Linked DNA regions of Canis lupus familiaris. The main gene of each other region encodes a partner of the protein of the gene in region 2 in a complex. Links are inferred from orthologs where the notes say so. Each region holds a gene or a part of one and is shown on either strand. Other genes may lie near its edges.

Evidence for each region.
Region 1: the proteins of PINK1 (region 2) and TOMM5 are in contact, whole or in part, in a cryo-EM structure (PDB 9EII), measured with the Homo sapiens proteins. The link is inferred for Canis lupus familiaris from reciprocal best matches to the Homo sapiens genes PINK1 and TOMM5. Residues at the interface, in NP_115785.1 of Homo sapiens: Gln484, Ala488, Gln491, Ser495, Lys496, Pro498, Val502, Lys520, Leu522, Lys523, Leu524, Met527, Glu565, Cys568, Gln569, Ala571, Leu572, Leu573, Cys575, Ser576, Trp577, Ala579, Ala580; in NP_001001790.1 of Homo sapiens: Met1, Phe2, Arg3, Ile4, Gly6, Leu7, Ala8, Lys10, Leu11, Asp12, Pro13, Glu14, Met16, Lys17, Arg18.

The regions. Positions count from the first base shown.
Region 1 is NC_049232.1:54,231,910-54,236,045, forward strand, and holds the start of TOMM5 (mitochondrial import receptor subunit TOM5 homolog), read right to left. Parts: upstream 2,808-4,136; 5' UTR 2,727-2,807; coding exon 2,606-2,726; intron 1-2,605.
Region 2 is NC_049223.1:77,685,256-77,688,813, forward strand, and holds part of PINK1 (serine/threonine-protein kinase PINK1, mitochondrial), read right to left. Parts: intron 2,245-3,558; coding exon 1,963-2,244; intron 1-1,962. UniProt on the Homo sapiens protein: Serine/threonine-protein kinase which acts as a sensor of mitochondrial damage and protects against mitochondrial dysfunction during cellular stress.

The sequences.
Region 1 (4,136 bases), on a different chromosome or scaffold from region 2:
GGGAGAAAATGGGGGAATGACAGCTAATGGGCATGGTATCCCCTTTAGAGGTAAAGAAAATGTTCTAAAATGGATTGTGGTGATGGTTGCACAACCCTGACTATGCTAAGAACCACTAAATTATACCCTTTGTTTTTAAATTCTTTCTTTCTTTCTTTCTTTCTTTCTTTCTTTCTTTCTTTCTTTCTTTCTTTCTTTCTTTCTCTTTCTTTCTTTCTTTTAAAAGGATTTTATTTATTCATGAGAGACAGAGAAAGAGAGAGAGAGAGAGAGAGAGAGAGAGAGAGAGGCAGAGACACAGAGGGAGAAGCAGGGTCCATGCAGGGAGCCTGATGTGGGACTCAATCCCGGGACTCCAGGATCATGCCCTGGGCCAAAGGCAGGCGCTAAACTGCTGAGCCACGCAGGGATCCAAAAATTTTCTCTTTTTAAATAAAATATAAAAAAACCCTAAAACTAAAAATAAATAAATAAAATATAATCAACACACAGTACCCTGTTAGTTTCAGGTGTATGTCACAGTGATTCAATTTCTTATATATTATGAAATGATCCCCACAATAAGTCTAGTTATCACATAAAGTTACTACAGTATTGTCTATGTTATCTCTATACCGTACACCAGTGACTTGTTTTTTTGTAACTTTAAGTCTATAGCTTTTAAGCTCCTTCCCCTATTTTGTCTATCTCCCACTCTACTCCCTACTGGCAATCACCAGTCTGTTGTCTGTGTTTATCAGTCTGTTTCTGAAGATTCCACATATAAGTGGAATCATATGATATTTATCTTTCTCTGACTTATTTTACACAGCATGATAGCCTATAGGTCCATCCATGTTGTTGCAAATGGGAAGATTTTTATATCTAAGTAATATTCCTCTGTATATACACACCACATCTTCTTTGTCCGTTTATGGATAGACCCTTAGGTTGAACTGCACACTTTAAATGGGTCAACTGTATACCCATTATATCTTCTTTTAAAAAGCGGTAAGTTGGCTCAGCAGTTTAGCGCTGCCTTCAGTCCAGGGTTTGATCCTGGAAACCCAGGATCAAGTCCCACGTCATGCTCCCTGCATGGAGCCTGCTTCTCCCTCTGCCTGTGTCTCTGCCTCTCTCTCTCTCTGTGTGTCTCTCATGAATAAATAAATAAAATATTTTATTTTTTTAAATTTTATTTACTTATGATAGTCACACACACACAGAGAGAGAGAGAGAGAGAGAGAGGCAGAGACATAGGCAGAGGGAGAAGCAGGCTCCATGCAACGGGAGCCCGACGTGGGATTCGATCCCGGGTCTCCAGGATCGCGCCCTGGGCCAAAGGCAGGCGCTAAACCGCTGCGCCACCCAGGGATCCCCAATATTTTAAAAAATAAAATAAAAAGTGGTAATGTGAAACAGTATTCTCTATTTTTTTTTCTAAGAAAACTAATTCATATCAGATACAAAGGTCACTGAAAAGAAGCAAATGTTTTACTGGCAGCTAAGTCAACAAAAAAGGTAAGAAGAGAAAAATAAGTTGGGAGTTGCAAAAAAAAAAAAAAAAAGCTGAAGATTTGGGTTTCTGTTCAGCAGGGCTCCCTCTCCTGGGGAAACAAGGTAATACCATAGTCAGTGATGGGGTACCAAGCTTCAGTGAGCTCTGGCCTAGGCCCAACAGGAGCCTTCTACAGGATGACCTCGGTATGGCCTTTATTTATTTGAATCACTTCTGCCTCTCCACCAGACATATTCGCAAAACACAACAAGGTGCAATGAAAAGAAAGGTGAAGTGAGAATTGGGGGGTGGGGTGCAAATCACTTCTGAGATTCCTATCAGCAAAGCTAGAGACGTGACCTACAGAGGTGCACCCAGCTCTAATATCTAGTGTGCCTTTAGCGCTGACATTTTGTGTTAAGACCCTCTGAAAGGTGAGTTCTCATTTGCAAGCGGGATATACAGCACCTTAAGCCTCGTCTCCCCTCAAAGCACTACTGTCAAGACCAGACAACGCAAAAATATGCTTCGGCCAAACGTAAATTCAAATAAACCTTCAGGTATTATTATTATTAACCATATAGACTCATACCCTTTCCTTCTCATTTCTTCCAAAAAAAAAAAAAGAAAGAAAGAAAAAAAGCAATTATTTACCTCACCCTCTGTACAAATAAGCAATATTTTTTTTTGTATCTCAGAGGTCAGCACTGAAGGAAGGAAACGTGGTATTAAGAACTGTGGATTCTAGAGCAAGATCGTTCACTGGATCTCTGAGTGACCTTGAGCCAGCCATTTCTCCATTCGAGCTCCCCGTTTCTGTCGGCAAAACGGGAGCTGCTGCGAGGCGGAGGTAGTAACCCTCGAGGCTCTTTCCATTCAAACGCTCTTAAGGCAGGGCGAGGCGGGACTACCCTCGCAGCCCGAGCCGCCGCAGGCACTTCTGTACCCGGACCCCGACCCGCAGACCCCCAGCTGCGCCTGCGCCCGCTCTCCTCGACACACATGTCCTACCCCCCCCGCGACCGCTCAGCTCGCGGGCCGCCACAGAACCCCAGGACCAGAGTCGGGCGGGCCAAGTCCGCGAGCTCCCCGCGGGTCTCGCGGCCGCAGCCCGGGAAGGACACTCACTGACTCGCAGCAGGGCCACGTAGATAAGAAAGTTCCGTATGGACGAGATCACATCCTCGCGCATCTTCCGTTTCATCTCCTCCGGGTCCAGCTTCGGCGCAAGGCCCTCGATGCGGAACATCACGGCTCTGCTTCTCAGCCTTGCGGCGGCCACGCTCTGCTCTCCTCAGAGGCTGCCGGGCGCCCGGAACTCGGCCCCACCCCATTTCCTGTTCCCGCCCCTCGTGTTCGCGCGCGGCGACGGGGGCCTGCGAGGGACAATCCTCTTCCTGCCTGAGAGGTTCTGCAGGGAGCTGCCTGAAGAGGGCGGTCGTAGTCTCTCAGTCACGCGCGACGCCGGGTCCTCCGGGCTGTGCAGTAACCTGTGTCCTGAGCCGGGCGCTGTACGCCGCAGAGTGCTTTTACACCTCCGAGCGGGCGGTGCCCGAAGACACCGCCGTACTTCATAATAGCTACGGTTCTACGCCGTGAGTTAGGTATCAAAACCTCCATTTCCTGGGTGAGAAAATTGAAGCACAGACAGCTTTAAAACAACTTGCCCAAATATACTTTAAAATACCTTGGCGGGGGGGGGGGGGGGGAGTGTTGAGGAAGGGAGAGGAAAGGATATTAGAAAAATGTTGAAAATTGGGATCCCTGGGTGGCGCAGCGGTTTGGCGCCTGCCTTTGGCCCAGGGCGCGATCCTGGAGACCCCGGATCGAATCCCACGTCAGGCTCCCGGTGCATGGAGCCTGCTTCTCCCTCTGCCTATGTCTCTGCCTCTCTCTTTCTCTCTCTGTGTGACTATCATAAATAAATAAAAATTAAAAAAAAAAAAGAAAAATGTTGAAAATCAATTAGAATGATTAACATAGCATTTTAATTAGTCTATTTTGAGCATGTTTGAAAAATTTCCTGAGAAGTTAAAACAAAAGATGAAGATGATGAAACTTGCTTTACATTACACAGCTAGTAAATGCAATAGGTTTTTAAAAATGTTATTGTCAGCCTCATTTTATTATATATAGAAATTTGTTTGTTTATTTAAAGTAAGCCCTATGCCCCAGCTGGGGCTTGAACTCAGGACCCTGAGATCAAAAGTCCCATGCTATACTGACAGAGCCAGCTAGGCACCCCTGCAGTAGGGTTTTATATTTACGTTTGTAGGACTCAGACATAAAAGTTTTTAACTCCATATTATCGTTATATTCTCATTTCTGGTGTTAATTGTTCCTGATAGATTATCATATTGGCCCAGTAATACAGTATATATAAAACAAGTTCAGGTCCTTTCAACATTTCACAGACGAGGAGGGGGAGCTGAGAAACCAAGTGCACTGCTTAGAGTCATTCTGCTAGTGATGGGTAGTGATGGGTTTTTTTTGAGATTTTATCCATTTATTTGTGAAAGACAGAGAGAGAGAGAGAGAGAGAGAGAGGCAGAGACATAGGCAGAGGGAGAGGCGGGCTCCCTATGGGGAGCTGGATGTGAGACTCCATCCCAGGCCCCAGGGATCATGACCTGAGCCAAAGGCAGAAGCTCAACCACTG
Region 2 (3,558 bases):
ACTGCCCCTCCCCCTCAGAGCTCATGCTCTTTCAAATAATGAATAAAATCTTTTAAAAAGGAAAAAAAAAAAAAACTCTCTGCAGCAGCAAGCCAAGCTAGTCTCTCCTAGGAGAGAGGGGGTGGAGATGTTATCCGTGCCAACCCCTACAGGGCTTCAACACCACACCTCAAACTTGGCAGCTCAGGGGCCCAGGGAAGAAGAGATGGCAAGTTAGGGTGAGGGACCTTTCTTCCTGCCATCGATGCTACTGGCCCTGGGTCACTAAGACTCCCCCTTGCAGGCTGCCTGCAGCAGACGGCAAAGCAGGACAAATCTACCCTGGATAAGTTGTGTTGAATCTCAGGATGACCTTCCCCAGCCTCCCCGTAAAAAGAAACAACAGCAAGAACCAAAGACGAGGACAGGCACCCTCCTTTCCTTGTTTCATTACAAATGGCTCTCAGGTCCTATGGAACCTATTAGGAACCCTCTAGGAGTCAAGTCATTTAGCTTTCACAAGTGTAAAAGTTGTCACGCCCATCAGGAAGTTTTGATGCTAACACTGGGTGGTTCACAGGCAAAGGCCTTGGCTACTTGGTAGCTAGTAACCCAGCGTGGAAGGGCAACAGTCCAATAACCTTCATCCCCGAGATCAAAACCAGAAACTGTATTCTTCAGCGTCCAACATGAGCTGCCACGGCTGTGCCCCACCTTAGACTTGGGCGGATGCTCTGGGCAGGTGAAGGAACATCTGGTCTTAATTTTCTAAACCCACCTACAGGGCATCCCTGGGTGGCTCAGCGGTTTGGCGCCTGCCTTTGGCCCAGGGTGCGATCCTGGAGTCCCGGGATCGAGTCCTGGGATCGAGTCCCACGTCAGGCTCCCAGCATGGAGCCTGCTTCTCCCTCCTCCTGTGTCTCTGCCCCTCTCTCTCTCTATCATAATAAATAAATAAATCTTTAAAAAATAAAAAAAAAACTTTAAAAAAATAAAAAAATAAAATAAAAATAAAAAATAAAAAAATAATAAACCCACCTACATAGTGAGAAGGGAAAGAAATTACTCTAGACGAACTCTTTGTTTTTGTGGAGAAAAATATTCAATTTCCCTAAGCCTTGAGTCCTCCCAGAGGGGAAAGCTGGGAGATGACAAGCAAGCCTTTCATCTGGAGGGGAGCTTGAAGAGTGAGTCTGGAGGACAGGAGGCCCTCCTCTCCAGGCCCTCCTCTCCAGGGAGGCAGGTCAGGAGAAAGAGGGAGGATGGTGGGAACCGCACACCTGAATCCAGCTAGGTGGGTCAGCACCCACACGAGAAACCTGCTGTGATGTGTGTGGACCAGACCAGAAGCAGAGGCATTGCCTGGGAGCTGATCAGAAAGGCAGAGACCCAGCCCCCACCCCAGGCCGGAGGACTGGAATCCGCCTTTTAACCAGATCCTCAGGTGACTGGCAGCCTATCACGACCTGAGACTCCTGTGTGAGCGGGCGAGGAAGCCTAACCATACAAGAGCCCATCTGCCTCCTGGGAAAAAGCACTAGCAGGTCCACCAACATTGGGGCTTTTTTTTTTTTTTTAAGATTTTATTTATTCATGAGAGATACACACAGAGAGGCAGAGACACAGGCAGAGGGAGAAGCAGGCTCCGTGCAGGGAGCCCGACGTGGGACTCATCCCAGGACCACGACCTGAGCTGAAGGCAGACGCTCAACCGGTGAGCCACCCAGGCATCCCAAGGGGCTTTTTTTTTTTTTTTTTTAATAAAGATCTTATTTATTTATTTGAGAGAGAGAGAGCATGAGCGGGGTGAGGAGCAGAGGGAGAAGCAGGCTCTCCGCTGAGCAGGGAGCTCATGTGGGTTTTCATCCCAGGACCCCGAGATCACAACCTGAGCTGAAGGCAGATGCTTAACCAAATGAGCCCCCAGGTGCCCCTAGTGTTTTAAGAAATGCCTAATTCCAAGATGAAAGGCCCCCTCCTCACCGAGATATTCCACATCATCTTGATGGCTAAGGGAAAGGTAGGGGCCTGTGAAGCTGGCTCCTCTTCTCGTGCATCGACATCTGGGCCTCGGCCTGGAAGAGGTCTGATGCTCTTCACCACCTCCCGGTTCTGGGGCAACACAGGCATGGTGGCTTCATACACAGCAGCACTGCAACCCTTGCCAATGGACTGCCCTATCAGATACTCCTCCAGCCGGAAGCCCTGCCAGCGTCTAGTGTCCAAAGGGTCAGGAAGCAGCTTGTTTTTCTGGGTGAAAATTGCCTGTGTGGAAGAAAATATGCACAATGAGCAGGATGCCTAGTGGGGGAGGGAGAGGTAGAGCCAGGCAAGGTCTTCACTGACAAGCTCAAGAGCTAATAAAAACACAAACCAAACTGGGTTTTACTGCTCATCCTGGGCTTAGGCGATCCTACCTCCTTTCTCTCCCTTTATTCAGAATAATTTTTTCTCAAACTCTGTACCTGCATTGAAATCAGAGACAGCTGAACACAGAACACTGCATTGGTTAATAGGTCAAAACTTCTAAACTTTGCAGCCAGCACACCTCGCCTGTCAAGCTCCCTGCACAACCTTGGAGGCTTCTGATTACAGAGACAGCTCTTTGTGCAAGGGCCTTGGCAGGCAGCTACTAGATGGTTCTCGAGAGCTGTGGATGGCAGCTCTCCTCAGGTCTTCAGAGGAATACTAGGATTGATGTTTGGTTTAGTCTATGACTCATCTGCTACTAAAGCCACTACAAAGGGTTTTGGAGTCTTTGTGTGGGCTGCCAGCCTGGCAGCTTGATCTGATTGTTCCTTTGGGCAATCAAGCAGCCCCATTTCTGGTGTCCTTGGCTGCGGACAACAGCTACCTCCCTGGGTTCCAAAGCAGCTCTAATAATTCTAAGATATCTGCAGGCTACCTCAGATTGTCTAGCTTCAGTCTGCAAGGCTTCCGGAGAAAGAGCAGTTTTAGGGAATGGAGAAAATTGGAAACCACAGTTTGGAGAATCATAGCCACATACTGGAAGAAACCAGAATTTAGGATCCAGCCCGGTTTTAGAGGCAAACAACAAACACCCAAAGACAGTGAATCTACTATTCACAAATGTGTGATTTTTCTCTCTAAAATCACCCTCATTTCCACCAAGGATAGCCAAATCAAGACTTCGGTTCTAACAATCTTGGCCTAATTATTTACATAAGCGCTGCAAGAATAGTGACTGGCTATATAAGGTTTGCTTTATTTTTAAACAGAAAATCTGCTTTGCTGGAACTTCTCATAAGGAATTTCAGACTGAACTTTTAATAGATCCTCAAGGCTAAGAAGCCAAGCCAAATAGTTGCCATCAGACTTTGCCTGCAGGTATTGCAGATATGAATAAATTCCTCTCTTCATGAGGTCCCCCAAATATCCTGAGGTTCCCGCACCTGCCAGGAAGTGACCTCTTTATTCACCCAGTAAGGCTGCTGGGTACCCTGTAAGTAAGGTCCTAGGCTGATTTTTTCCAAGGGGCTTCACTGGCTCATAAAGTCAACCTCAGTTCCTTAACGCTGTCTGGTCATATCTGAGTCTATGCATGTCTCGCTCAAATAG